Linked DNA regions of Arabidopsis thaliana. The protein of the gene in region 4 interacts with the protein of the main gene of each other region in a pairwise test. Each region holds a gene or a part of one and is shown on either strand. Other genes may lie near its edges. The genes, in order: AT1G54770, AT5G09450, AT1G54120 and AT4G23770.

Region 1 (8,484 bases), on a different chromosome or scaffold from region 4:
AAGTGGGTTTGGTCTGGTGAAGGGACAAAGGTTTGGGATTGAGAGGAGGAGAGAGCGCACGAGGGGAGAGAAGGGTCTCCATTTTTCTCAGTGAATGAGTTTTTGAGTTCAGAGATGGAGAAGATTTTGTTGCATTTTCTTGTGTTTTGTTTTGGATCGTGAAAGGAAGTGAAGGATTGGTGGAAATGTAAGATTTTCTGGATAATGTTTTAATTCCAGGGCCAAGGCTAAGGCCAACCACATTTTTGTGCAAAAGATTTTAATTATGCTGCGACGTGGCGTTTTATTGTTGACAATGCATCTCTATAGTCTATAACTACATTAACTATTACTCCCTATTTTCAAAAACAAAAGAATAAAAATATATGTAATTTAAAAATTTGCCAAATTTTTAAAACTTAAGATGTTAAACTTAATTTTGTTAATATTTTTAAAAATAGAAATACAAAAGTTCTTAATCCTATCGAAAAAAGAAATATATATATTAAGTAAGAAAAAAAATTGTTTTTATGTTCGACTTTTGTTATTGCTATTTTAAACTGTTAAACTAATTTTATTAAACTTTGTTTTTGTTAAATATTCAAAAATAAATAAAATTTACTTCTTATATAAAAAATGCTAATATATTAAACTATTAACCTCATTCTATTAATTTTGTTGTTGTTAATATATTCAAAAAAAAAAATTAAAAATGTTTATAGTATAGGAAAAATATACAAAATTTGTTAGTGTTATTACATAAACTCTTAACATTCTCACTAGAGCGTGACATGTGGTATAATATTAAACTAATTTTGTTTTTCTTGTTGTTGTTAACCCATGAATCCATCAAATTTAAATAGATCAAATCAACATGTAAATTCAATTTGGTTTGTAAGTTAAATGATTACATATCTCTACCCATCAATACAAAAAAAAGGTTCTAGTTTATAATCTTTTTTAGGGGATAATTTCTGAAATAAGATTTTTAAAAATGTGACAATATTATTGATAATGCTTTAGAATTAATACCACAAAAAAATTGTAAGAAAAAAAACTGAATAGAAACTTTTGAAGTTACTCAAATTTAATCTATTATGGGTACCATCTATTGTCTTAATTAGTTGAGTGTTAGATAAATTATTTAGCTAAATTAATTAGGTCAACCTATGAATCCAATAAATTTAAATAGATCAAATCAACCTGTAAATTCATTTTGGTTTATAAGTTAATGCTAAATATCTCGACCCATCAATACGATTTTTTTTTTATATAATCATGTTTTAGGGGATAGTTTTTGAATTAAGATTATAAAATATTTGACTTATTATTGACAATGGTGAAAATTTGGCAATTTTTTTGGTAAATGACGATTTAACATTGCAAGATTGTTTGGACAGCTAATAACATAAACAAAAAAAAAACTAACTTTTTAATTAATAAGAAACGGATATACTTCCAAAATCAATAATTTTAAGTGGATAAAAATACTTTTGCTATATAAAGTACAAAACTACAAAAAGCCAACTCAACACTAATTATCTTGTTAATTTTTTTTTGCTATATAACCTAAACAATATTTTTATTACCTCAAACATTCACAAACTCATATTTTCAAATAATGGCAACTGAAACAATGAAAAAGATATATAGTGTTTTGATGATTGTAGTTTTATTAACGATGATAGTTTCAACATACGCGAGTACGATAGAAGTATGTGTTAAACATTGTGTCCCAAATCAGTGCATGAAAGATTCTAAAACGGCAACTCTTCCTTTTTGTGAGAATTGCTTGCAAAAATCTCTGCAACCAAAACAAATTTGCTCAAGTGAAATTTTACACGCCTCCTGATAACCGCTTTTATGATGGATTTTTTGGGTTTCTATGTAATAAATATTGAAACTTTTAAAAATCTATAAATAATTTATGTGTGTGGTTTCTTATCTTTAAATTAATTAATCTATCATGTTACAAAAAAAAAATTAATATATCATGTATGTATACTAATTTATTTTGTGTTAGATTCTATCTTAGAAACAAAATTCGATTACATGGGTTTGAATTGCGGCCATCAGATTTTATGGTGATGATCACTTCACGATTTATTTACTAAAAATTGGCATATGTGTGAAATAAACATTAGCTATACTACATGTCTATAAACTATACTATTTTCTCAAAACAGAATTGATGTTTAAACTTCTAAATTGCTAATTAAATATTTTTTAATTTTTTTTTTGCATAATTACATTTTAAATATACACTCAATGAAACGTGTTATCACATTTTTACTTATATATGCATTTATATTTGTCCAAAAAATAATAATTACAAAATGAATTTAATATATTTACAATATAAAAGTTATCTTCATTATCTAGTAAAACAATATTGAGAACATTGATACAAAACCATCCAACAATAGAAAAAACCTAACACGAGCTTGCTTGTTTACGACTATCAACTCTGTAGAGAGCCACTTTTTTTTTTTTTTGTAAATGTTAAAGAGAGAGCCACTTTTTCCCCTGCAATCCATAAACCAAATCAATCAAGCTTTACTTCAGGTTTTAGATTTCAAAACCAAAAGAAGAAATTTATGTTGTATAGAGACCAAATGAGCTTCATTAGGTAGAAACTAAGAAAACAAACGATTTACAAGAACAAGGTGTAGATTGGTGTAGATTGCAGTCACAAATGAATTGTTGTTTCAGATATCGGCTCGAATTAGAATCGTGGGATTCAAGTTGGGCTTACGTTGCATTGCAAGCCCATTTCATTGGCCATGGCCTTCAGAGAGGATGGTCTCAGTTTTGAACTCTCTCTCGAGAGAGACATAAGAAATAAATCCGAATCAATCAAGAAAACGGGGACTCGGTTTAGACACTGCCAAAGAATGTGACCAAATCACTTGAGAAAATGCTACAAAGTCTACTAAAGAAGACTTCTCTAACAGAACAGAAAACAAGATTACTTACAGCAGATGTAGAAGAACGTTAGAGGAGTCGGTCTCATCGTGTCTTCTCAAACTAGCGTCTCTCTCTTTCTCAAACTGCCTGTAATCAGCACTCTCCAAGAAACTGACTTTGTCGAGATACTTAGTAAGAAATTAGATTCTAACAACACCGAGCCAATACACAGATTCAAAAAAAAAAAAAAAGCAAGCTTAAACAGTTCAACTTGACATAGATTTAAATCCTACACACACAATTCATCTTCTTAATTCCAAAGAGCTGATATAATATCATAGAACAACGCCGAGCGAAAACAAAAATTCAAACAACTGACCTCAATCTTTCCCCTGCTCGAAGCAGCTGCAGCAATACTCTTAGCCTCCTCATTACAACTATGATTCAAAAGAAGAAAGTCACATAATTTAGATCTTGCTGAATACCAAAGTTTTGCTGTGCTGACATAAATATGTGTGGCATGGTCAGTGCCAGATGACTCAAACAGGGAGGTACTATGAGTGCTACCTGAAAGTATAAAACTCGATGCTCTCGTGGTTGGACCCTGCAATTCTGCAAAAGGTGTAAACTAGGACTCAATTTCAGTCTTGCTGAAACAAGTTTCCCACCTAGTAGCTCTAGACAAGGTTTGGTTTTGGATATACATAACATAAGCACCATAAACAACAAGAGTTATTACAGTTATCAAAGGTGTAACCAATAACACAAAATCCTTTAAACAAAGGCCATAAACAACAAGAGTCATTACAACCTATATCACCGCAAGAAAGTGTATCCAATACTATGACCATATTCTATTAAAAATAGAAAAAATGTGTCCCAAAACTATGATCATACTCTTAACAAAAATAATTCAGTTCCTTCTTGGCTTTGTGTTCTTAGACTGGTTTCCCTTTTTATTCCATTTCTTATTCGTAACAGCTCTACTCTTCTCCTCAATCTCCCTAACTTTACGCTTCCTGTAAAACCATAATCAACACAAAAACATTCACTTAACAAAGATTGCACATGTGCTATATGAATACAAATTCTCAAAAATACAAATTCTTGATAGAATAGATAAACCACACACTTATTTTACTTACATCTATCAATAATACTTACAGAATTTAAGCATTTCCTATACATTGTTTCTTAATAGACAATGGTAGTAACTAACCTGTAGAGAGCAGTTTTAGGATCTGAAACCAACTCATCAGCAAGAGTTGCTTTTCTATTCTTCTTTGTCAATCTCCCATAAAACTCTTCAGCTGGTTCAATTACTGTACCAATCTGTTTTTTTTTTTACAACAAAAGTTTGTGTTAAGACAGAAACCGAAAGAGACGGTTATTCTCTTTGATCTAGTTCTGAAACTTGCCTGGAAATATTTTTCAGCTAGTTTAGACCGTGACACAGATTTCTTGTAGTGTAGAGCAGGATCCATTACAGTTCTCAACTACAATAAAGATACAATTAGAATAATGTAAGGACTATGGAACCTAAAACAACAACAAAAGCAAAAGAATCTATTACCTTAAGCAACTGAAGATCTCTTTTCAACTCAGGAGTCATTGTTGGAGCAGGCATATCAAACCTATCCACAGTTTGAAGAAATACAATTTAATCACAAGCCGGATCAAACTAATCCGAGTAGAGGAGATAAAGAAGAGTTACCAGTTAGAACCAGTAGTGTCTTTGAGTTGTTTTCTAATCATCTTGTTAATCTTCCTTGGATCATTAGGTGGAAGACAAAGACCATCAACAAGCTCTGACTTAGAACTCTCAGCTGTTTTGCTTCTGGTTGAACCAGTTTTCAAGTCTAAGGATAAGCCTGGAAGCTTTGGTTCCCATTTAAGACCGATCAGTGGTTGTTTAGTCTCTGCCATTATTGTAAATTGCCTTTGTTCTCTGTGACCCGGAAACAAAAACACTGAAACTTGTCGAGAACTCGAAGAATCAGCTTGTCGAGAACTCTTCCTAAGCTGTAGAAAGTGAAGAGTAGTAGAATTTTAGTGTTAGAGATCAATGGAGATCGACGGAGATGAAGATTGGAGATATTAGGGTTAGAGATTGAGTAGATGATAGATCACGAATTGGGCCTAATGGCTGTAATGGGCTTCTTTTATGTATAAAATATTTCAGTTTCATTAATCCATTGCTGGATGTTGTAGAAAACAATAACAATTCATAATGTATAAAAAAGAAAAGACAAAAAAAAAAACATAATTCTTAAGACTCAAAAATACTTAATTAGTAATGATCTACTAATTAAAATCTTAATCATTAATGGATCATTTGTTATTATTCTCAGCATCTCCTCTTTGGATCCTTGCAGCAGCTTCATTACACAGTTTCTCATAGAGCCCTTCACACTTTTCCATTATCTTCTTCGCCTCTTCGTGATCTTCCACCTCCTTTGGATCCACTTTCCACCACGCATCCTCATCTACGGGCATTGTCTCCGCTAATGCAGCTGCCTTCTTTACTTTGGCTTCTTCCGTCTTTGCCTCCTCCACCATTCTATTGTATACTTTGCAAAGCTCTTGAATCTTCGCTTGTTGGTGAGCATTCATGACCGATCGTTGCAACGATGATGAGGCCTCACGATTGAGAAATCGCTCTGCCACGGCTTGAAAAGACGGACTGCCGAATGTGTATGGTTTTCCTGAGCAAGAGTATCCGAGAAACGCAACTTCAGCACCACAGAGAATGGAAAGCTCATTGCTTATTGTAGATTCCATTTCGACGCTTAGATAATGTGACCAATCTGTCTTCATCTTTTTCAATTTTTTTGATGTTAATCATTTGCTTTCCTTTGGTTTTCTTGGGATTCATTTTGGAAGAAAACAAAAATATGAATTGACTATAAAGAAAGGAGAAATTTAGATTAAGTATGTGTTTCTCTTTTTTTTTTTTTTTTTGTGGGTGCAAGATTGGGTTTATATAGATGGAAAAATGGTAGTAATTTAAATTGCATAAAAATTAGTCAATCTGTAGATCAATGTTTGGAAGTTTGGTAATCTTTGTTGTTCGCATAGTTAAAGGTTATAAGGATTTTTGATGTAAGGAATTTGACTGTATGATTTTTAAATTAATTGGTAAAGACTGTGATTGTATGAACTACAATTTTAAATAACTACCAAATATGTGGGAGAATAGATTTTAATACAAAAGGAAAAAGTCAATTGAAAGTATTTTTTAAGAAATAATATACGACTATATGTTTTCGGAGTTTATATATATGGGAAGAAAAAAAAATATTATAAGTTGTTATTTAATTATTTCTAAAATTATGTTTACGTGATTTTTTAAGAAAATGAAAGCAAAGAGTTTTCGAAATTTATATATATATATATATATATATGGGATAGAAGAAAAAAAAAGAAATTGGTAGGGGACGGGGAGATAATGCCTCCCCAAATTTATTCATAGCAACATACAAAAACTTAACAAGCAACAACATGCCATCGAATTGCCAAACAACGGGCATCATCCGACAAAAGAGAACATCTTGGAATAGTATCTAAAAAGTGAAAAACTAAATTTAAAGAAAAAGCATGGTTAGCTAATTCATCCGCAAAACGATTATCCTCCCGGTAAATATGTGAAATTTTGATATTCTAATCCTTTGATATAAAGCCATGTCACAAGCGTAACAGGAAAGACAGCGGATAAGTTTCACTAACCCTTATCTTCAGAAAACCAACCACTACTTCCAAATCCATTTTAAGTTCTAACCGAGAAACTCGTTTTCTACATGCGATGTATAGGCCGTAATAAACTCCCCATAAGGAGGTGACTTCCTTTTATTAGGCTTAACATTTCCGTTATCAAAACGTTTCATGCAATCTCCTATACTTGAAGCTTTCCTAGGGAATCAACACGGCTCCTACTCTAATTTTTAACTCAGTTTTCTTATTGCATTTCAATGTTTTGCGGACCACAAACTTTTTCCCTAGCTTTTGTTTTCTTCTCCAAAATTCAATGTCTCGTATCTCAACCCGTCGAAACTTTTCTTCAGTTCACAAGAACTTTTAAATATGCATTGTATCTTGGGGTTATATGTGGCGTAAAGGCCTGTGACCTGTCGATTGTGGAGGGAAATGGAGTCTATAAATGCAACCTGCAATCTTAGAATTTTGACAACATTAATGTTCCAATTTTCAACAGACAGCTATATATGGACGAATGACCAACAATTGGACCGATCAGACAGACTCGTTTGCGTTACATTGCCTTCTATCTTTTCACCTATGTTTTCCTTATTTCTTAATTACGAGGGTCGAAAAGATTTTAACTAACACCAAACTAAGTTCGATTCTAAAACATTAAATGATGAAACATTGAATTATAACATATGAATTGTGGCCTATTCCACTAAGTATCATTGCTGAACTAGTAAAACTCTTAGCCGAAGCTTAAAAATCGTCAGTTCGATATTTTTGGAACGAAACTAATATTACATGTTGTCGTTTCGTGTCTGAGAGGATTACGAGTTTTACTCTAAAATCTTGTATTAAAAAAAAAAAATTGTGGCCTATTCCGGATTCATCATAATTATTTTTAAAACTGGAACATCTAAACTCTAAACTTTTGAAGAGATTATCTGTCGATTTTATTTTGATCAAATTACATAAATAAAAAACGGTGTAATCAAAATTGGAATAATACTTTGTTAAAAAGGCATAATAATATGAAAATTGAAAGTTGTAATAAGATGTTTCAATTATGGAAGTCATATACATAAGCATCTTAAACGAACAATAATATTACACTCACACGCTATCATATTGTTGACACTACTTATAACAACACCCAACCTTTGACTTTTCGAATATTTTATAAAAATACAACGGAACTTCCAGAGAAAATATAGCTGTACTCTTTTTTAGTTGATATATTTTTTGTTTCAAGCCGCCACGTAAAAAAAAAAAACATTGATTAATAACCTCACCTGGTCCTCACGTACGTCCGGGTCCATAAATTCATGTTATTGTTACTATTATGATGATGGTATGGATGAATATGATGACGATGACGATGATGATAATGATGATGATTGTTCTCATCATGGTTCCTACTTGCCACGATCTTAAAACCACTGTTGTACATCCATTCTCTCGTGTCATGGTCATCATGGAAATGTGCAACATCATTATTACTATTCACCGAAACATCATGACTACTTTTACATCTCCAACTTCTTGCACCACTATCATCACTGATTATAGATAAATCCATTCCTTGATTACATGCACCATCATTGTCGTCTTCATTAATCTCTCTACCACATTCCAGATCAGATCTACTAATCTCCCCTCCCTCTTTCTCATTACCTAGACCCTTAGGTTCCTCTTCTAAGGCCACAATTTCTTGAGGACCAGAATAAGCTCTAATGGGATTCTCGACACCATCGACAAAATGTAATCTCAACCGTCCATCTACTCTAGAAACGTGGAAAATCTCTGGTCGATCGACCATAACTTGCGTAAGTTCCAATCTACCGTCTTTTCTCACCGGACGGAGATAAAAATATCGCTGTCCACGGCTGTTTAATG
Region 2 (8,351 bases), on a different chromosome or scaffold from region 4:
ATACGATTGTTTCAAGAAAGAATCAACAAGTGTTGCGTTCCACACATTTGAGCAACAGCTTCCACAATCGGTATGCTAACTGAATCTTTGACTCTTTATGGATTATTGCTTTCTTGAGTTGGGCTACTAGTAGTTGTCTCATTCATAGCCATGTCCAATGATTAGTCCCTTTCCTTTTTCGTGCAGTATTGTATTCCTGTAAAGTTCCCTTGGCTTAAACTGCAAGAGCATGCCTCTTGATACCAAACAGCAGAAATGGTTGCCATTAGGCTTAAATCCTCAAGCTTGTGTCCAGGACAAGGCGACTGAGTATTTCCGTCCTGGAATTCCTTTTCCGGAACTCGGTAAAGTTTATGCAGCTGAGCATCAGTTTCGCTATTTGCAGCCACCGTTCCAAGCCTTATTGTCTAGATATGATCAGCAGTCTTGTGGAAAACAAGTTTCATGTTTGAATGGGCGATCTAGCAACGGTGCTGCTCCAGAGGGGGCACTCAAGTCTTCTCGGAAAAGATTTATAGTATTCGATCAGTCGGGAGAGCAGACTCGTTTGTTACAATGTGGATTTCCTCTGCGGTTTCCTTCTTCTATGGATGCAGAGCGAGGGAACATTCTCGGTGCCCTACACCCAGAGAAAGGGTTTAGTAAAGATCATGCCATTCAAGAAAAGATATTGCAACATGAAGATCATGAAAATGGCGAAGAAGACTCGGAAATGCACGAAGACACTGAGGAAATCAACGCGTTACTGTATTCTGATGATGACGATAATGATGATTGGGAAAGTGATGATGAAGTAATGAGCACTGGTCACTCTCCATTCACAGTTGAACAACAAGCGTGCAACATAACAACAGAAGAGCTGGATGAAACTGAAAGCACTGTTGATGGTCCACTTCTTAAAAGACAGAAACTACTGGACCATTCGTACAGAGACTCATCACCATCCCTTGTGGGCACCACTAAAGTCAAAGGCTTATCAGATGAAAACCTTCCTGAATCAAACATTTCAAGCAAACAAGAAACGGGTTCTGGTTTGAGCGACGAGCAGTCAAGAAAAGACAAGATTCACACCGCTCTGAGAATCCTGGAGAGTGTAGTTCCAGGGGCAAAGGGAAAAGAAGCTCTTTTACTACTAGACGAAGCCATTGATTACCTCAAGTTGCTGAAGCAAAGCTTAAACTCATCAAAGGGTTTGAATAACCATTGGTGAAAAACCTACAACCCCTTTTGTCCTATTGATAAGGCATGTTTGGTTGGTTAAAGAGAAGACATGGGACAAAAGATAATCAATGAGGTAAAGGACTGATGAAGAAGATTCTCTCAAATTCATTAACGTGGGTTTGAAACAATTAGAACACGCCTGGTGACCCTAGTGGGACCGTATCCACTGTTCATCTAGCTGGATCAATAGTGGTTTACTTTTGGATTTGGCATGCTCTCTCAAAAAAGAACCAAAAAAAAGTCACTTTCTTCTGTGCTTGGAGTGGAAGAAAAGTGAAAGAAGGGAAAAAAGCAAAGTCTTGGTGCTCATTGATCGTTAATAATTATCTTTACTCGTGAGTAATAATAATATCTCTGTGAAGGTCTGGTGGTGGTGGGTGTGGATGAAGAAAAATCAAAAAGGCAAATATTGAAATTTTTGGAGTGGTTGTGACTTGTGGAAATTGAAATCTTCCCACTTTCATTAGGTGAAAATCTATGTCCCCACTCTCTCTTGTCTCATTATTACTCTTCTGTTGCTATCAATCCCATAACTTGTCATCTTTTTTGTTTTTTCTAATCTCTCTGGCTCTTAAGCTCTTCAAAGGCCTTGTAGTTTTGTACTATTGTAATGTTATTTGCTTCTGTTGTTTCTCTCATGGGTCTAAACATGTTTGTGTATCATGTTCATGTAATAAACTCGAGTGTTAATAATGGAACCTTCTTTGGCTTCTTACATGCTAGGATTTTGCTCTAACCTTTCAAACTATCATTTTTTCTATACCAAAAACAAATTTTGTAGACTTATTATTAAACAACAACCATACAAGAAAAACCTCCACAATCTATTTTTTGTTGTAAAATTTGGACTTTTTGAAATTTGACGTTACATATGAAATGTTATGGACCTTGCCTAAGGAAACACATCTTCCGACTATGCAGCAAAATCTTCTGGTGAGGAAATCTATGTGTCTCATGACCTCCCACGTAAAGAACAAAAAGATATTTAAGAATCACAGTGAAGAGAAGAAACCTCTATTTTATTCATCCACCATGATTAATGAGCTTGATCTGATTCTTCTTGCTAAGAGCATAAAATTTTCACCAACTTATTTCTCCATCTTAAGATGATCCTTCATTCTCCAAGCTGCATTTGTTATGCACCAAGATCAAGTGAAAGCCGCTGGCTATTCCCTCTAAACCAACATCTCGAAAAGCATTCAAGATCCTCAAGCAAGCAGAAGCATCAAACTCTGTCGTTTTAGACTCTTTCCACTGATGGATAATCTCCTCGGCTTCTCTCAAATGACCAAGCATTAGATAAGATGAAAGAACACAAATGTAGCTTCTACTACTCAATATCTGGTTGGTGTTTCTCAAAGACTTCCAAATCTGATCTATCATAACCTTGTTCCCTAGACCAGTGTGCAGAATCATAAGGAAGTCATATGTGATCCATTCTCTTTGCGAAATAGATTTCTCAGCTTCGACAGGCAAAGTAGACTCTGCATTAGTTACTCTACTACTGTTTATGTAGATGCTAGTAAGATCGATATACCGAACCCAACCCTCATTGGAACTAGCATCATGCCTCATCTCTTCAAGAATCTTTCTAAGCTCATCTATATTAAAGGTTGCAGCACATGAACTTAGCCACAAATTATAAGTAAAAATATCCGGAGAAACCTTTTTCTGCTTTAACACTTCAATAACCTCAGGTACTTTCTCAACTTGCCCAACTGACATGTATAAAGTCATCATCTCGTTGTATGTGATGGCACCAAAAGTGAGACTATCACTCTCAATGATTCTCTTGAACAAGGCCTCGGCTCGTTCGGTTTGTTTGGAGGCAGCATAAGCATGAAGGAGAGAAGTATAGGTTTCAGCTGTCTTTGAATCTATATCCAGACCTTCAAAGTAGCGTTCAGCTGCATCGATCCCGAAAACTTTTGAAATCAGATCTATGCGTGAGGCGTAATCAGCATCTGAGATCTTTGATTCTTCATGCTGTACCATCCACTCTGTAACCTGTTAATAATACTTGAATTAGCTCCCAGAAGAATGCAGTTTTGTGCAGCAACACATAACAAATCATAAATTGTGCAATCAATCTAGAAACTAGGAGCTACGAAGAAAAACCAATGAAAAAGGAAATGATCGATGTTAGTACCTCAAGAGCGTGCTTGTAACGGCGAGTTCTCCTAAGCTCTTTGGAGATCTCTCGGAGTTCATTGATAGTCATTTGATTCCCTTCTCCAATCCATTTCTCGAGAACAGTAGTCGCGCTACGTTTCGGAAGTCTCAATCTGAAAATCCTGCTCTTCAGATCGTCTTTCTCCTCCGATTCCTCGACAAGGGAGTTTCCGATTGCTGCGTCAGCATTGTACGACTTGGAGAATCGTGACGATTCGGCGTTTCGAATGAAATTGCTTCCGAGAACACCATTATTCGTCAATCGACTAAATTCATAAGAAGCAGTGTGAATCAATTATCTCAGGAAACAAATACGAAATCAGTAGGAGACATAGAGAGGTGGAGGGAGACTCACCATCTAAGACTATGGAAGAGCGAGCGAGTCGCCATGAATTTTCAGTTCCGACTGAAGAGACCAAAAAGATCTAAAAACCGATCACTTACTTCGAGAAACTCGAGTTTCAACAATTTTGTGTCGAAAAAATAGCAAAAATATCTAATGGGCCCATGAAAATCAGCCCATTAGCTCCAAGATAAACAACCACCAACGATGTGGCAATTCGAAGTTGAAGGCATTAAGTATTTGGGGATTGGTATAAGGCGTGGAATGTTTGGGTTGGTTATTGTGAGGCCTTGAATGGGCTTACGGAGTTGAAGGCTAACTCTTGATTCTTATTATTTTATAGATTTGGTGTCGTTTGCTTTCTTTTTTGTAAACTCTCAATCTAGTTTATTTCTATCCAGTCTCTCGATTTCGTTATTTGTTACAAACACGATTATATGGAGAAGTTGCTATCAACTATCATGCGGCTGATACTTTTTCTGTTATAAATTTTCAGGACTCTAATGAGGCCTTTAAACTCTTTAGATTCAAATGTTATATTTTTGGTTACTTACTAGTTACTAGTTATCAGTTGGAACTTGAAACCAAGCGTTTTGGTGTCTTCACATAGAGAATTAAAGACTTGCCTAGAGTTAGATTTGCAATTTGCATAGTATATTCAAAAGTAAACATTTCATATTTGATAAAAAAAATAAAGTATAGTGTCTAGTAGGCCTGTTACGGATCCGGATATCCGGGTTTTTTTGGAGTATCCGGATCCGGTCCGTAACCGCCGGATCCGTAGATATAATATTCGGCTCCGCATCCGTTTGCTACGGATATTCGGAATCCGGGTATCCGCAAAAAAAATCGTCGGATCCGTTTTTTTTCTATGGGGATCAAATCCGATTCTCTTTTACAACCCAGATCGAATCCACCAATGTTTGTCATAAGCTTTCGCAATCTACAAACCACCATTTCCAAGCCATGGCTTTCTTCTATTCTTCACCTTTAACGACATTGATTCAGTTCCCAATTAAGCGACGAGCGCACGATCTCGAGTCGGAGGTAAGTGGTGACCATTGACGAGAAGTTCTTGCGGGGCTAACGACTGAGGAGAAGATCTCGTTCATGGATTCATGGCAATGGAGATGAGATAGAGACGGTGAAGGAGATGGTTTGGAGACGGTGAAAGAGATGGTGATGGAAGAACGGCGGCAGAGAGAAGACAAGTTGTGAAACCCTAATGACGTGTCCCACCAAATCACAAACAAACTCAAATTATGTCACTTTGTCGTATTGGGCTTATATGGGCTATAAGATTAATAATATCAGTATGTATTAAGCCCATGATATCAATGTATAAGCTTAATTGGTGTAATATCATATTACTAGCGGATTTTAGTCTCAGGACTAGTAATATGTAGATATTTTGACGGATCCGGATATCCGGATGTAATTTTTTTTGTTATCCGGCTCCGGATCCGGGTCCGTCTGATCCATAAATTTGTTATCCGTATTCAGATCCGTTTAGTCCGGATATCCGATTTTTCGGAGCGGATCACGGATCCGGATCCGGATATTCGCGGTTAGCGGATTTTAGTCCCAGGGCTAGTGTCTAGCATTGAAAAGTAAAAGATATTAGGGGAAAAAGGAAAAAAAAAAACACTCTTTATCATTTGAGTTCAGGGATCTGATGTGAGGACAAGAATTGGAAGATGTTTTGAAGTGAAGGGGGAGTGAAATAGATTTGACATAAAACATTGGATATATGACTTGATTAGGAAATGTTTGGATGTGAAAATTGGAGTCCAAGATGATTTTTATGGGGTTCAGTGTTACCAACTCTTAAAGAATGTGGCTCTTATTGAACGAATAAAAATAATTGTAGGTGTAAATTGTGTAACCTCCAATAAAACCTTTAACAAGTTGTTATTGGAGCGACTTCATTGAAAGCTTACTGCTTTCACTATCGTCAGTAGAGTCCATTGATTCGACAGGCCTGCTCGAAGCACTCAACACCAACCAACCCACTGCTCATATTTAAGAATTTATGGGACAATTCAATTCAAGTTACTAAAAAGGTGAGATTGGTAGGAAAAACTGGATGATAAAAATAAAATCATTTTTTCCAGTCCCACAATAAATACTATACTATTGTTTAGTAAGCAATACGCCAAAACCTATAAGCTATAGCTTTTATTAAAAGTGAAAAAGTGATTCTATATGTTCTCTTTTCTCTTATCCCCCAAGTCCCAACATCGCCTTTATTCTCCACCTTCCTTTAGATTATTCATTCTCTCTTTTTGTTTGTTCTTTTTACCGTATCATTGGTATCAACACAACATAATTAATATCTTAATCCATTTTTCGTTTATCTATAAAGTTTGATTCCTCTGGTTAAAAGTTAAAACAAGGTCTTGATACTAATCATACTATATACAGTATATACTAACGTTATAAGATTATAGGTGGAAACTACAAATCGTTATTATTAAAATAGATATATGAATCTATCTTTCACATATTTCCAAAGATCGAATTTACACAGGGCATAACAAAATAACAAAACAAACACATCCCTTTCCCCAAACTCCGAACCAGACGCGATAGATATCTACAAACTTTCTTTGACTACAACAAGCTTTTAATCACCATCAATTCTAGCCACGTGTCTCGTTCACAGACCATCTAAAATTCAAACCATAGTTTTACACGTCGAAGTCTGAGGATCCCACAACGCCGGCAATAGATATTTTCTACCGGCGAGACCCAAAGCGTTGTAACTCGCTCCACTCGTCTTGTCTACGAGAACCCGACCCGCGTAACCCGGGTAAGCACCCGAACCGAATATCCCGGTACAAGCCGAGACAGCTTCTGGAGACGGATTCGTTACGGTGTTAACAAGAAGAGTCGCGATGTTTATAATCATTCCGTCAACTCCGACGTCGCCGTTAGGTGCGACTAACGGCGGAGACTGAGGTCCGTAGATAGGCTGATGAAACGGCCACGCGCAGTAACCAGGACACTGCGTTTCAGAGTTTCCGACCCACACGTAAGCTCCACTGTTAACGGAACTTGACTTTGACCCGTGAGTCCCGCATCGGTTCATACAGAGTCCCTCAACGGTGACGTCTTTCGCCGTTAAGACGACGGTTATTGACCGAGCACCACCAGCGTTAAGTTTGCTTGACAGAGCACGAAGGTAAGGGCTCTTTAGGGATTTTCCGAGAGGGTAATTCTCAAGGAGGAGCTGTTTACCGACAACAAGAGTTGAAACGCCGGTTTTGTACTTCTCCGTCGTCTTCCACCACGACGCGACGGATGGACCTTTGGCGGCGGTGACAGAACTGATAGAGCGGATGAAATCGACGATTATGGACCGTTGGATTGGGGTGAATTTTCCGTACCAAATGAGATTAAGAGTAATGTTTCCGTTCAAGGTTCGAACCGGAGGCTTCAACGCGGCTGCGGTAAAGCCGACGGTGGCGGAGAGGAGAACGAGAAGAATGGCAAAACGGTAGTTATAAGCCATTTTGGGAGTATATAGAGTGAGAAGAGAGGTTGTGTTCTGTTTTTGAATATGAGTTTTGTGAAACCATTGAGAGCTTATTTATATACCGAGGTTTTTTGAACGGGCAAGAGCTGTAAAATGCAAAGAGCGTACATGTCAACGTATGCCACGTGGATATATTTAATTGGTTAGGCAAGTTTTTGGACAGCCTGTAGTAAGGTTCTTCTTAGGGTGACGTGGTAGTTTCCATAAACGTGTATTATCAAGTAGTACTATTTTTTGGTTTTTAAAATTTTCGAAATGTAGATATTATGCGACAGGGATAAACACTTCCGTGCATGTCCGGATAAAAGTTTATACTATTTACGTTGAACAGTTTACGTCTGAAGTTATTGAAAGATGCAATTCAATAAATTCAAGGGTTATCTTATCCTGCTAAATAAAATTAATTTAAAAAATTGAATAAAAACAATGTGGCTATGAAATGTTTAAGGACTATGCGCATTCTAAACGTTTTTAATTAAAACACCAAGTTACGGTTACATGTAATCATCATTGACAAAAACATGGGCGTTTAAGATGACCGACTCAGCCCATACAAAAATTGCTGAAGGTAAGACCAAGATACATTGATAATACGATTGGCTCAGATGGTTTTATTGGTGTATAAAAAAAATTGGCTCCTAAAACAAAATTTACGTATATATAGTTTTTAATATTTCCCTTATTTGCATATCATTGAGAGAATGAAATCAGAATTTGGATTTATTAAAATAAAAATGACATGCACTAAGAAAAAGCTACTAGCTATAGCTAAGCTAAGCTACATGTCTTGGCTATATATATTGCAATTAAACATTAGATATTTTAGTTTATCATTCGAGTATACGATTAGCTGCAACTAGACATCTAAACCGACATACACTAACCACACTAATATCGTAATAAACCATATTATTTAAATGCTGCTTCCCAGAGCTATTCAAAATCTATTGTTTTGAGGGAACCCATAATGGAGATATAAAGCACTTGGTTACTGTAGTAGGGATCAAATCCTTACGTATTTCAGTAATCAATATTCAATAATACTATGGAACTATGTATACAGTATCAGTATGTAAG
Region 3 (7,090 bases), on a different chromosome or scaffold from region 4:
TTGCGTTTTCTTTTAAAAAAATATCTAGAATGTATTTACGGAAAAATCAGCAAATGGTCGGAAGTGGGATCCACTGCATGATTCTAATGTTTTTTGTCTGGTTGGGATTTTTTTTGATTCAATGAATCTATTTGCGGATGAGGAATCCCTTCTTTTTTTTTTCTCCTCTCGTTTAAGAAAAAAAAATGTACAATATACTCCAAACCCTTACGTCCGTTGATCAATTGTGTAACAGTCATAGAGAAGGAGAAAATCAGAAATTTAACAAAGAATGTGAAAAAATTGGAATATGTCGAATGGTTTTTTCACTTTAATGTTCTCAATAATTTTGTTAGTTAACAAAATTATTAAATTTTGATGGTATTGCTTAAGGACAATACAGACATTTCAGCCTAAGTTATAGTAATTGCCAACTTTTATTTCTTTACGAATTCTTACATTTCCGATAAGGACACCGACGAACTCTCAAAGAAGAACCATCACTGCCAAAGAAAAACAGTTGCCACGTGGCCTAAGGGGACGGAGCTTAACAAGACACGTGTCTTAATTGGTGGCCAAGTTTTACATTTGTGTGCCAGGTCAGCACCTACGCTCAAGGCTCTCAGCCTCCGTGACTTGTGGGAATCGTTTACCCTATAAAATCGACGGTCCTGTTTGAGTCTTGCGATTCGATCATACCCGTCAAACTAATCACGACAATATACTGTTCTTACTTCTAAACGATCTTAAGTCAATAATATCAACACCTGTTTTTGTAATTGACTTTCGATAGAATGCAACAAAAGTTTGGTAAATAATACATCAATTTAATAACTTTTCTAACAATTTTCATGTCCAAATCAATTCAAATGAGACCTAAATTGTTGGTCGGAAACTGAAAAAGTCATGTATACATGAGTTTCTGAATATAAACGTTCAATATCGTGGAAATTAATTGAATCCAAAACAAAATTTAGAAATGGTTACGTTAGAAGCAAAAGTGTCAAGAGGCAACGTGCAAACTTTAGTCACCACGTGGAACTTCTTCTTTTCCACGCAACCACGTAATAACTAACGTACCATTCGTCACAACGTGTTTATTTTCGGTTTAGTCTGTAACGGGAACAATGTCAAACCGTAGTTTTTATTGGTCTGGCTTGATTTATTGTTGTTTCTGTGGACCGGTCGTGATCCTATGGGCTTTTCTCTCACCCAAAAATAAACGCAAAACGAGCAAGCTTTTAGGCCCATTTTTACTGCATTGGGCTATTAGTTATTGATCTGGCTTGAATGTAGTGTTGTTTTCGTAGGTTATGAACTTATGATGTATGATTTGATCCATCTACTAATAGAGGCTTGATATCTATCATATTTTACAAGTCGTGATATCAATAGCATATTTTACTGCGAGGATTGTTATGTGTCACTAAAGACAACACTAGGCTCGTGGGTTGGACCTTGTGGGGAAAACCAAATGGATCGAACCGAGAAGTAATAACCAAAATTTAGATAGGTATGCTCTCGGACATGATGAGAACAAGAACCACTAAATCTTTGAAGTATGACTGCAATGTAAAACATAAAACATTTCAGTGCCAAATCTACTATTTTAACTCGAATTCATGGTAGGTTCTTGATGTCGTTCCCAATTGGAATATATTGTTATATCCGACCGTACAATTTTATGCTATAGAGGAAGTATATAATATTTCATGGATTTCTAGCAGATGTTTACATAATGACTTTTTAAATTGTAACTGTGATAATAACTTAATACTATATGGTTATACAATAATTCAAATGTGTGGAAAACTGAGAATAATTCAAGTTGGTACTAGTAATATACAAGCATTGAGATTCTCGAATCTAAAGCAATCGTCGAAAGTCCAGATAAGTGTTAAAATATTCGAATTTTATGGGGAAACGACGAGTTTGTCATGTAAGAACACGGTACATGTATCAATATGAGATCTGAATATCAAATGATAATTTATTTAATAATTCATCGTCTGATGATTGCATTTCTAGCAACTAATGCCACCTTAACTCAATCACTTACAATACAAGATTCTAGTTCATCTCATTCCATGATCAATCACGTTACCAAGCCCAGACAATACATTCATTCAAATGTTTGTAATTTGATACTGTAAAAGAGGACAACGTCGTGTAAAAAAAAAAATTCATTTCTTTACTTATATGTTCTCTTATCTTTATCAAACTAGTATTTTATATACAGTTATCAACGGCCTTGAATGTTTTGTAGATTTTTTAAGAGTTTTTGGTTTTTGTTTTTCAAAAACTTATTTTCATACCAATCAAGATTTTAAAATTTTGGTTTCCCTACAATTTAAAAAAATAATTTTGTTGGAGTTTTTCATTCATGATTTTAGTTTTTTAGTTTTCCTAAAATTTAAGAAATCTAGTTTTTACTCAATCAACATTATTTTTCTCAAAAACCAAAAACCAATTTTTGGGGTTTTTGAAACAAAACTATAATATCAAAAAACTAAAACTAAAATCTAAAATCTATAAACTAAAATCTAAATCCAAAAACTGAATTGAAAATCAGCATCCGTTCAGGACCATAGTTTAATTATGAATCTCTCACTATTGGTGTTAACTTGTTCGTTTGATGACTGATGTGCATGTATGATATATAATATTTATCATTTATTGTAGAGAATAAAATTTGTCTTGTTGGTTACAATAACGAAATTTAGTTAATCTTCATCCCTCAAAAGTAAAAGAAAAAGAAAACTTTATAAACTTATAACAAAGTAAAGCAATTTTATTTCACCAGAGTGAGTCGTAAATAATTTGTAATTAATAGATGGAGAATGATTATTTGAATTGCAGATTTTCTACCATAATATTAGAACTATTTTTTTTGCTTACATGTCATTTACAGTTTATGAAATATTATTTTGTTAATATGTATAAATTTAACAAATCGTATTTAATAAACTATATAACCATATACTGATAACAGTTTCATTTTCCAGGGATGATTCTTTTTTTTTTTTTTTGACACAACCAGGGATGATTCTAAAATTTAACAAATTACAATAAAATAGTTATATAAGATACAACAGGAAAAATAATACAAAGTTACAAAGAATATAATTTTGGCTATACAAGAAAATACCGTGCTCGGTCATGGACTGAAAAAGAAGAGAAAGAGAGACCTAAACCGGGAACCGCAAACGCAGCCGCTTCAACCGCCATTCGCTGCTGAATCGCTTCAAGCTCAGCTCCTGCGTCTACGAACTCTTTAACCAAATTACGATAAAACACTTTTATCTTCTTCACAACTCTCACGTAGTGTAGCTTCAACCATCTCAGCTTCATCCTCCTTACCATCTTCTTTAACGAGAATCCGCCACGTGACACCGCACTGTTCTTCCCACCAAGACGTACCACCTGCGACTTACGGCGACGGATATGAATCTTTCGACGGCTCCTAGACCACCGGAACACGGGGATTGCGGCGATGCGTTGATCCATTTGGATAGTAATTTTTTGACAAGAAAAAAGAGAGAGAAAGAGAAAGAGAGTTTGTTATGTTTTAGAGAGGCCACATTGAGAAACTAATATATACAGACACACATACACGTATATAAAATTGTGTATATACATTTTAGTTTGGGGTCAGTGACCTTTCATGTGACATGTGACATCTTTCGTAAGATAGTATTATATGCAAAAAAAAAAATTTGTTTTTTTTTTATTTATAATTTAGTGTCCTGACCACACAGTGATCTGACTATCCACTGGGCCGAAGCCCGCGACCAGGGATTTTTGAGCCTCTACTTAAGGGTCCCCTGGAACTGGTGGTCTGAGGCGCCAAAGCAAATCCGCATGTTAATTCCCTGGTGGTCAGGAATCGAACCCGGGTGGCGGGCGCCTCAGTCGAGGTTCCTTTACCACCAGACCACGATGCCTGGGTTTTTTTTCTTTTTAGTATATGCAATTTTGATTTAAGGGATATGGCCTATATGTCACGACATTTTTGTCATAAAACTATACTGGACCACATATCAATCTCATATATGTATATGTGTTCTTTCGGATTCTATATTAAATTTACTCTTTGTGGATTCTATAACAAATACAAAATTTGTTAAATTATACTTTGAAAAGAACAAAAAAGATAGGGAGAAATTGAGAGGTATATCAATTTGATTAGAAATGGGCAGCACATTTATGTTTTGTTTTGTTTCCAATAATATTGCAAAAGAAAGACGATTTAGTTTAGAGGTCTCATGCAGAGAGCATGAACTTGTTTTCATGTCTTCCCTTTTTGAATCATAAAACAATTTCTGTAATTTTTAAACACTTAATAACATACACATGTCTTCTTATTTTTGTATATGCTTTACTACAATTCTTTGATGATAAGAAATTTCAATGATTGACTGAAGATAGGTCGCTGAGCTTGTCTTCAACTTAATGTTTATTAATTCGATATATATTATATTGTGGTCCACATAACTTGAGTACAATATAATATAACGGATACGTTTTCTATAGGGTAATATATCATTATCAATTGCATATAAAACTATAGTGTGTGTTTAATTCGACTCATTTTTTAAAAAAAATATGCTAAATATAAATTTTAAAATAGTTAGAAAGTTATTTTTTAACTAATGTGTGGTTAAAGAAAAAAAGTTCGAATCTACATATACATTTTTGCAGCCACTTTGTGAAATAAATCCTCAAGTTGGGACTTATTTACAGTGGCTGTCACTGACATTTAATAAATGTTTTTGATAATTAAAAAGTAAATATTTGAATTAAATGTTTGCATTTAACTACCTTCCCAAAATCTCTCTGCATTAACTATACGATTAGTTACTAAAATAAAACTTCCAAAATATTTAATATCATTTAAATACTACAAAATTATCATTTTTGATATTGCTTTTTTTTATGACTATAACAATTCGATTATAAGCAGCAAACCGTAGAGATATTTGATAGCAATTAATTACTACAAAATTACAAATTATTTAGACAATGGTTTATAAACATATCATAAATAAGATCAACATTAATAAAATAAATAGGTTTTTTTACGGGACGGGTTTGGCAGGACGTTAGTTAATAACAATTGTAAACTATAAAATGAAAATTTTTTATTGATAGATACAATTTGTAAACTTTTATATATACTAACTTTAAGAAAATAAATTGTCCCCGCGGTATACCGCGGGTTTAAATCTAGTACGACATTAAATCGAAAGATCAACAATAGCAATCCCGCTATATGTAGTTTTAAATTCGGTATTCTAAACATTGATTTTGTAAATATCAAAATAATATTACATATACTGAACTCTATGTTTTGTTTCTATAAACAAACAATTCTCTATTATTTCAGAAACCATAAGATTATGTTTTAACATTTTCTCACAAAAAGGAAAAAAATGCTTTGGTTTATCGATCATAAATTAATGTTTTTAGATCTGGTGATATATTTCACATATAATCTAATTGTTATGAATATTAAAGTTAAACTGGCCAGTAAAAACAACAAAATGGCATATATATAAACCCAAAAGTAATTAAACACAACCCATATGAGTGTCAGAGTTGTCTTTTTGCGAGAACAGAGCAATAAGATATAACATGTTCTTAGATGTCTTGTCCCGAGTTGAGCATATTCAAACACTATTATATAGTACCTATATAATGTTACGAGATTGTGATACACTATATGGTATCAATTCAAAATTCATAAATATTATATAGTACTTATAATAAGAGGGTGGTCAAGTGACATAAGGTATGACACAATACATTTACTTCATGCGCAAGAGAGAAATATATAAATGTGTATATGTAGTAGATAAGTCTCTACGACATGCCTAACCTTACGCCTTGGTCTCCACGACGGCACATACTTACATTGCTCTTTGGACCCATTTTGTTCTCTATTCACTTTAATGCGAGAGAATCATTTGGTACATGATAACTTATGCTATATACTGTTTATAATATAATTTGGAAACCATTCACCAAGAAAATGATTTATTTGCCTTCTTGTCCTTTCTTTTTTCTTTTTTCTTGTCGTTAACTTCTTGTTATTCTCTCTTGTCGATTAGTTAAATCTAATTATTAGCTAAGCAATAGTAATCGGTATAAACTATTTTAATAACAACGTATGTTTCTTTGTTACGTAACATGAAAATTGAAAATCAGATAAACAATTAATTTTTCCGATACGAATATCGCACTACCACGTGACGACGATGTACAACTACAAGTGGAAGCTAACGAAACAAGTGGGGCAACACTATTGAGTTAAGCCGTGGCCCATTTATACTAAGGCCCATTAGTCCCCATTTTCGAATACATAATCCATTTGTCCCAATCTACGATCGAGATCTACCACAACTATCTAGATCCAATGGCTCAGATTCATTCAGTTACATCAGCATAATAATACAAACAACATTTACTTCAGAACCAGTGGGCTATATCTCTAACAACATGATGTATACAATAAGCTGGCAACAATGGCGTTTCAAGAAGCCCAAGGTATGAATCCCATGGCGGAGCTAAGCCTGAAAGTGACGAATATCAGATACAGTGTAATAAGACCAATGCCCATCACTTTGTTCGGTCGCATTTCGTTGCGTGGGAGCATCACAAGAGACCAAATCAATCCGAATATTAGAAACCCTAGAGTGTAGAACAAGCTATTGTCCTCCGGGATCATGTAAGTCTCTGGACTTTTCGACCAAGCACCAAGAAACATCGACATACCTAACCCAACAAGCGTGTTAAACATTGGACCTGCGTAGCAACCAGACAACGCGATTTGTACCCCATCTCCACCGTTCATTGACAATGCGATGTTTGACACTAAGTCACCCATTGAGTTTCCCCAAGCAAGTACGGTTAGACCGAGTATTGACGGGTTGATTCCATAGATTCCACCAAATGTAACCAAAAGTGCAACAAGTTCGTTTGCAATCATGTAGAACCATACGATGCTCATGATGAATCCACCAAGTACCCAAGGGATTAAATATATTTGAGGTGGACGGTCGGGCTCTGTGTTTTTGAACGCGAGATATCCAAGAGTAGATCCAATCGCAAT
Region 4 (7,763 bases):
TAGAAAGTGAGTGAGACAGTGTCTCATGAAAAGTGGCAGAGACACATTAATAAATACATTAAAAGAAGGACCAACAAAGAAATTAAATGATGTCTAATTCATCTTCATATTTCACGTACCATTTCTCGTGCCATTCCCATGCACTTAACATGTTTGCTCTGCTTCTCCCTTTCAATTTTACTGAACTAACCTTCCAACTACCTTTTCGGTTATCTTCTCCATAATGTAACAATCTAATTTGAGTGTGAATATTGTACCATATAGGTGTTATAACGTTACTAGTTTTGTGACGATGGTCACGGCTTTAATAACATCATAAATATCCCCGAGATTTTGTGTGTGTTCCTCTATAAGAATTGGTGATCATGTAGCGAGTACTAATCAGCTTTTGATCAAAGTTAATGTTGTTAATATGTGATGGTTTGTGTAATCAACGTTTCAATATTATGTACAATTATTTAAATTATTGTGTTTCTTCTATACTACATCGTCATTCATTAATTTTTTTGACGATCTATCATCTACCAACCATCCACGACTATAATTGTATGTATATCAAATATTGTTCTGATAGTCAAAACATTATGGGCTAATTAAGAAGTTTGAACAAGAGTTAAAGAAAGCTTAAAAGGGCTTTGATGAATGAACTCAGATGGGCTTTATGGCCCATTAAAGATTTTGTTCTTTTTTGAGTCGTCGCCCCCGAGATCGTGGGTGATCCGTCTCACTGGAAACATCTTTGTCTCTCTGAGAAACCCCTCTTTAGGGTTTATACCTTCAATGGAGAAACAGAGTACTCAACCAATTTGCGGCCAAGAGGCTCTCCAACTTCTCAATTGCGTCGCGGAGTCTCCTTTCGATCAAGAGAAATGCGTCCGATTTTTGCAATCTCTCAGAGAATGCGTTCTATCAAAGGTTGGTTTTTTATCGCTCTAATTACTGATCTACGAGCTCGTGATTCATTTTTTTTTTATAAGTCAGTTGAATTTTTAGGACAAGGTATCTAAATTTTAAAATTCTATCATCGATCGATCAAGATATATCGAATCGTTATTGTCACTTATGCTTTATGACAATTTTGGAGCTGCTCTTGGTCTCTCATAGAAAACTTTTGAGAAATTATCACATTTTTTTCTACTACTGAGTAATGAATATGTAAATGCCAAGTTATTGGTGGAGCATTTGGAGCTTTACTTGATACATCTGTGTTAATAACTCTGTGGTTACACTTAACAGTTTCTGAGTGATTGTCATAGACACTAGGTTACTCTAAGCTAATACCCTTACTCTCGAGAAAAGTAGAAACAATGCAATGATGATTCTTGAGAAACTACAGATTTTCTTGTGGAAGCCATTAGAGAATGAGAAAGCTCACTATTAGTCTCTTTTTATAGGTAGCAATCAAAGTAGGAACTGGTTTTGTTCCCATTCTTGGTCTTGATCTTGATGGGTTATAACTTTTATGCGTAACATGGATCCTTACAGAATCACGTTTAAGTGCAAACTAGTGAAATCTCTCTATTTCTCATTGAAGTTTTTGGCTTTTTGTTTTGAACAATGAATGTTACAGAAAGTAAAGAAGTTCTCGATACCGAGTCAAGATCACGACTCTGAGGGAGCAGCTTCAGCTACAAAGAGACCTTCATAACGTTCTTTGTTCCGATTTTCTTTTATCGTTTGAGTTGTAATCATGTAATTGATTTTAATGTCATGCCTTGGATTCATAAGCTGGGTCATGCCTTGTTTCCCCTTTGTTGTCTTGTATGTTGAATATTGCAAACTCTAAAGAGCATATTTATAAGAAGAAATAAAAGTTTCTACATTTGACTTTCCCTCTTATTTTGGCTAATCTCTCATCCTCGATCGCTAACTTATTCAAATCATCTGTTGCAAACTACTTCTTTACTACCGTGTTGTCGATTTCATTCGTACAGATTATCTTTTTCGTTGATCAGATTCTCTTATTGCTCATCATCTTCAGATATTCATTAAAGAACACAGAACATGTTCAATCACTAAACTAATTCTTTTTCAACGGTTTATGGAACAATGTGAGAGTAGATTTAAGATGGAATCTGCTTCTCTTACTACCTTATTATGTGATACTAAATCCACTTAACATACTAACTTTCATATCTTAATCTCCTTACTCCAATAGCAAGAACAATGCAGCGGATATTCATAGTCATATACACCTACTAGAAATAAAAGCAACAAGAACTACTAACTTAAAAAGATTTGAAATTTCCCATTATCACCACTTCTGACTCTGTGCTTCTTCTCCATCTCCTAAATTGATTTCAGATCTTGATCAAAGAATGAAGTGGTCATGATCTGATGAGTTAATGAGTCTTCCTTTTCTTTGTCTTCGGTTTCCATCATCGTCCTCACTAGTCGACATATCTGCATAGAGATTTAGTCAGAGAACATGGTTTGATAGAGTAAGTGGACACACCACATATCAAAAACACTAAAATATCCCTCTTTGATAACTATTCTTCACATTAGGTCTATTTGCACTACCTGAATCCACACCGGTTTGAACATCAACAGACATTATGTATTCGATACTCCTTTCGACAGTCTTTAGCTTCTTCTCCATTTCACCAAACTTGTTCTCCCACTTTTCAATCACTTCCTTCTTCTCCAATGCTTCTTTTTGCTTAGTCACCAGATCTTCAACAGTGAATCCATGAGTTTTCTCTAGCAACTCGAGCGTTTTAATTAGGCTCTCATGCTCTATCACCAGACTCTCATACTTGTCTTTCAAAATCATGTGTTCAGCAAATGAAACATTTTCACACGATTTGTTGTACTTGTTCACCAATTGGTCCAAACGACTAGACATTGTTGTCTTTAATCAATTCAAGATTAACCTGATTAACAAAAAAAATTGGAAATGTGTCCTTAAAAAGAGAAACTTTAAAATCTACAAAACCCTAAAACTCAGATCTTTATTGAGCAACCAAAAACAAAACTAAAATGTTAGAGACAGTCCACAAGATTCGGTCTTTCTCAAACGGATTCACACCATTTTTGTCCTAAACCCAAACCGGAACCAAAAGAAACAGAGAAAAAAAGGATTTATTTTTCCTGAGAAAATCTTACTCGGAAAAGAAAAAAGTCGATCTTTTTCTCAGTTACAAAGAAAGGAGCTCGGGTCGATGATAGAGACTACGCGACAAAGATGGAATCGTATCAATGGAACCCTAGAAAACAGAGAGCGGGAAAAGGCGAGACGAGTGTTTAGTAACGAAGAAGATGATACTTTATTTCATTTTCCTTGTTCAAAAATAATATTTAAGTTTTAATCTCCACCACTCATTTAGCCAAGTGGCCCAAGCCCATCTTCACCAGTTGATACACTCTTCTTGTCTCCTTCAACTTTACTTTAGTGATTGGTTTTAGTGATTAACCATATTCCAGATTTTATATGCAGAGACTTAGGGTCCGAATGGTAACCGCTGTTTTTGTTGTGCGGGGAAAGCGTTATTACACTGCGGTACGGTTCAACTGCGGTACGTGCGGAAGAAATATATTTGCAGAATTAGTGCGGTTTGTACAAAATAAACGGTACAAAATAATGTTTGATTGGTGAAAAAAACTACTTGCAGTGCGGATTATAAATTATATATATATATATTAATTAATTATTTTTTTGTGTTAATAAATAAACAATAACAAATATTTATAAACTACTAACACAAAAATTGATCAAAATATAAATTTAATTTTATAACAAACATATCGTTACATGTGTTGACTAATTTCATCATAAAAATATTTAAAAAATATTATTTATTAATTTGATTTTCCCATAACATATTTGTAATATTGTCTCTTATTTGCGTCATATGTTTTTTATTTGTTATCTCTGTTACTTCTATGTCATCTAAATCATGATCAAAATCTCTATTATTTTTATTTGTCTCTGTTATTACATTTGCAAAATCTGCATCTGAAAAGTTTGAAATTATGTAATCTCATTATAGCCATTACCACTTTTTTTTTAATACGAACATTATATTTTGAAAAATCAGAAAGAATCCTCCATTTTTTTTTCCAAACTCCAAAAGTTCTCTATATAATAGAACCTAAAGAAAAGTATGATGATGTCGAAAAAAGAGAGAGAAAAAAAAAGACAGGTTATAATAAAGCGAAAGAAAAGTTTAGATATGTTTATTTGGGTAAAAAATTATATATATAATTATAAAAATGCTTCTAATAATTAAAAAATACAATAAAACATATGTGTAAAATTTACTGCGGAATTGGTTGGACCGCATGATTATGGAAGTTTGTTGTTTTCAAAAGCGGTCTGTAAGTTTTTAGCTTATTTTGAAAAACGCGAATAGTGTTTTGATAGAAAAGTAAAAAACGTGTATATGTAATAATTAATGGTGATTGGTAACAATAGTGCGGTTTTTCGAATTAGGTGTTGAAATCCGCAATTTTTGTGTCGCCAATCACAACCTTATATACAATACCTTTGCTTGAAGACCTTTCCGTTTGAAGAATGCTTTGAGGGCAATACTGGAGTTAATCCCTCTCTTGTTGAAGCACTCTATGATTGCAGAAGTAGAGTGCACTTGGATCAAAAAAGGTACAAAGTCAAAAAACATCATTTTGAGGCCAAAAAAAAATGAGGACCTTGTACTTCCCTGTCCTAAGCTATAATCATCTCTATCTTCCAAGAGGAATAAACTTATCATCAGATTCAATGAATATCATAAACTAGCTAGTTATTTCAATTTTTGTTTAGTTGTTACTATATAGAACAATCTGAAAGTAGATTAATGATGCAAGCTGCTTCTCTTACAACTTTGTGTTGGGCTAAATCACTTATTACACAGTTACACTACAAACTTTCATATCTTATCAACCCTCCTAGTCCATCAGAGAGACTCATAGTCATCTACTTCTACTAACTTCCAAAGATTTTGAAACTTCCAGTTTCACCACCACATCTGACATTGTGCTTCTCCATCTCCACATCTTGATCACAATATGAAGGAGTACTCTAAATTCTTATGTGATGAGTTACAGTTTCCTACATTGCTTTCACTTTGGGTTCTTTCATCGTCGTCACTAATCTCTATCACATCTGCAAATAGAAACATGTTTAGTTTATGTAATGCTAACACATTTAGTTAGACACATATCAAAAAACACTTAAAATTACCCTCTTGTGATTCAAACTTGTTCACATTACGTTTGTCTGCAACTCTTGCACCACTTGGTCCTGAACTCATACCATTCATCACAGTTTCTTCACAAGACTTTAAGTATTCAAGATCCTTATCAAGCATCTCTTGCATCTTCTTCCTTTCACCAATCTCCTTGTCAAACTTTTCAATCTCTTCTTTCCCAACCAATGCTTCTCGCTGCTTCTTCTTCACTAAATCCTCTAATGTGATTTCGTGCTTCTCTATAAGCTCGAGTGTTTTGATTAGGGTTTCATGTTCTTTCACCAGATTCTCGTGCTCTGTCACCAAACTCTCATATTTCTCTTTCCAAATCTCGTGTTGAGCTAGTGGAACATTATCGGAAAATTTGTTATTGCTGTTCTTCTCCGATTGGTTCCCAAGACTAGACATTGGTGTTCAAGTTCAAGCTTAAGCCTGTAAATAACACAAAATACACAAAACCACAAAGATTTTCTGAGAAATCACTCGCAAATTAGAAACTTTCACACAGTCTCACTCTACAAAAACCCTAAACCCCAAATCTCCACTGAGCTACCAAAACTAAAATGTTCGCAAAAAATCGAAAGATTCAGACTTTCTCAAAAGTATTCCTATCAGTTTCTCCCAAATGCAAACTGAAAACTAAAGAAACAGAGAAAAGGAGTTTTCCCGAGAAAATCTTACTCGGAAAGTAAAATTGCTGATCTTTTCTCGATCACAGAGAAATAAGCTCGGTTAGATGAGAGAAATTGTGCAGAAAAGGTCGAATCGTAACAATGGAACACAGATTAATGAGCCCTAGAAAACAGAGAGCGGGAAAAGACGAAAGCAGAGAGTGGAAACGTTAACGAAGAAGATGGATAGTTAACTAAATTAATTATCATTATTCAAAAATTAATATTTATTTTAGTCCCAAATCATTAGCCCAGCGGCCCAAGCCCATTATCAATCAAACACCAAGTATTGCTGTCTGAACTCTTTTTTTGCCTTTCCTTGTTTTCTACTCTTTCCATGTTAATTAATTACACTTCTGGTCTCCTAATTAGGTGATCCTTCATATCAATGGATTTGAATGTATTTATATGAGATGATATTGATCATAAATGTCTGAAAATGTGCTTCAAGTTTTGGAAAAAGATGTATAACAATATCGTTAAAAAATTTACAAATCTGAGTATTTTAGTGTAATTAAACTAACTAACTAAGGAAATCCTTTTATAAAATAGTGTTTGAAGGAATTGAAACAAACATTATATCACCAGTCTGGTTAATTGTGTGATATAAACAGATTAATAGATTAATACGTCTCTATTCATTATTTTACTGTATGGTTCTTTTTTAGAAATGGTCGAATGATTTAGTAACATATAATAAAGAAAAGTCCCCAGAGCTTTGGTCGGTCGAATAAACATAACACACAAATACCAAAAAGGCAAAAACAACTCACTGAACTGTTTGCATATCTTCATCTTCTTCTTGAGATGAAGTTGAAGTTGTCATCAATCTCCATGAATCATAAGAATGTGCTTCTCATCAAGCTCATCTCCGCTATTCTGATATCTTTTTTCGCGTTCCGTCTCTTCATTCTCCACTCCAGCGAGTTTTCTCCAATCTTTGCGTCGGTCACCGGAAAATTCGAAGCTCGGTTTCTGCCGCCGGAGATTATCGTACCGGAAAATGAAGATCTGATTCCTCAAGGTAAGATCAGTTATTTAGAAAGCAAAAGTATTTGACTTCTATGTGTATTGTCCACTGTGTTTGACTGTTTGTGACTAAACCTTGTTTTGTGAGCACAATTATGATTTATGAGATCTAAGGGTTTTGGATCTACAAGATTTAAAGCTCTGTTTACGTTTTTTTTTAGATTGTGGTTTAGAGAATAGAAAAAAGGAAATGACAATTCATGGATCTTGCTCTTCTAATTTAAAGTTATTCTTGTGGTGACTTGTATCATTTGATAAGTGATGCTAATTAGCTGCAATGTTCAAAGACTGGTTTCTAATAAATTGATCTTGGACTAGTGTTACAACATTTTGTATCAAAGTTGATCTCACATTGAGACTTAATTTTTTTTTTGGGTGGTTGTTGTTTCTTGAATCAGATATTGAAGTAGAGAAGTGTGATCTTTTCGCCGGAAAATGGATCCCAGATTCAGTAGGACCAATCTACACAAACAAATCATGCGGATCACTCATTGACGGTCACCAAAATTGTATCACCAATGGCCGGCCTGACTTAGATTTTCTCTACTGGAAATGGAAACCTCATGACTGTTTGTTACCACGTTTTGACCCTAGAAGATTTCTTCAACTTATGAGGCATAAATCTTGGGCATTTATTGGTGACTCCATATCTCGTAACCACGTCGAATCACTGCTTTGTATGCTCTCTACGGTATAACACTTGCTTGCTTTTAACATATCTTTGTTTCGACTTTTTTTACTTTTCAAGTTCTTGAGAAACTCATTTTTGTTTGGGGTCTCTCCAGATTGAAGAACCGGTTGAAGTATACCATGACATGGAGTACAAATCAAAACGTTGGCATTTCCCTTTACATAACCTTACTGTATCCAACAT

What was found.
Region 1: the proteins of AT4G23770 (region 4) and AT1G54770 interact in a two-hybrid assay, tested with the Arabidopsis thaliana proteins (one large-scale study listed by BioGRID).
Region 2: the proteins of AT4G23770 (region 4) and AT5G09450 interact in a two-hybrid assay, tested with the Arabidopsis thaliana proteins (one large-scale study listed by BioGRID).
Region 3: the proteins of AT4G23770 (region 4) and AT1G54120 interact in a two-hybrid assay, tested with the Arabidopsis thaliana proteins (one large-scale study listed by BioGRID).

The regions. Positions count from the first base shown.
Region 1 is NC_003070.9:20,431,131-20,439,614, reverse strand, and holds AT1G54770 (Fcf2 pre-rRNA processing protein), read right to left. Parts: upstream 5,066-8,484; 5' UTR 4,813-5,065; coding exon 4,601-4,812; intron 4,521-4,600; coding exon 4,460-4,520; intron 4,383-4,459; coding exon 4,305-4,382; intron 4,219-4,304; coding exon 4,106-4,218; intron 3,906-4,105; coding exon 3,800-3,905; 3' UTR 3,454-3,799; intron 3,324-3,453; 3' UTR 3,162-3,323; downstream 1-3,161. Other genes in the region: TLP18.3 (thylakoid lumen 18.3 kDa protein), read right to left, coding at 1-82; AT1G54775 (Plant thionin family protein), read left to right, coding at 1,601-1,831; AT1G54773 (uncharacterized protein), read right to left, coding at 2,832-2,863, 2,956-2,992; AGL85 (AGAMOUS-like 85), read right to left, coding at 5,218-5,703; AT1G54740 (FANTASTIC four-like protein (DUF3049)), read right to left, coding at 7,877-8,484.
Region 2 is NC_003076.8:2,937,296-2,945,646, reverse strand, and holds AT5G09450 (Tetratricopeptide repeat (TPR)-like superfamily protein), read right to left. Parts: upstream 3,850-8,351; 5' UTR 3,784-3,849; coding exon 3,749-3,783; intron 3,660-3,748; coding exon 3,371-3,659; intron 3,229-3,370; coding exon 2,323-3,228; 3' UTR 1,979-2,322; downstream 1-1,978. Other genes in the region: AT5G09460 (transcription factor bHLH143), read left to right, coding at 230-1,210; AT5G09445 (uncharacterized protein), read right to left, coding at 4,454-4,693; EXL4 (EXORDIUM like 4), read right to left, coding at 6,414-7,250.
Region 3 is NC_003070.9:20,203,474-20,210,563, reverse strand, and holds AT1G54120 (uncharacterized protein), read right to left. Parts: upstream 3,635-7,090; 5' UTR 3,487-3,634; coding exon 3,112-3,486; 3' UTR 3,009-3,111; downstream 1-3,008. Other genes in the region: CCX4 (cation calcium exchanger 4), read right to left, coding at 6,512-7,090.
Region 4 is NC_003075.7:12,381,203-12,388,965, forward strand, and holds AT4G23770 (uncharacterized protein), read right to left. Parts: upstream 3,295-7,763; 5' UTR 2,849-3,294; coding exon 2,524-2,848; intron 2,404-2,523; coding exon 2,312-2,403; 3' UTR 1,962-2,311; downstream 1-1,961. Other genes in the region: AT4G23760 (Cox19-like CHCH family protein), read left to right, coding at 643-915, 1,571-1,648; AT4G23780 (uncharacterized protein), read right to left, coding at 5,001-5,104, 5,183-5,597; TBL24 (TRICHOME BIREFRINGENCE-LIKE 24), read left to right, coding at 6,668-6,884, 7,288-7,580, 7,675-7,763.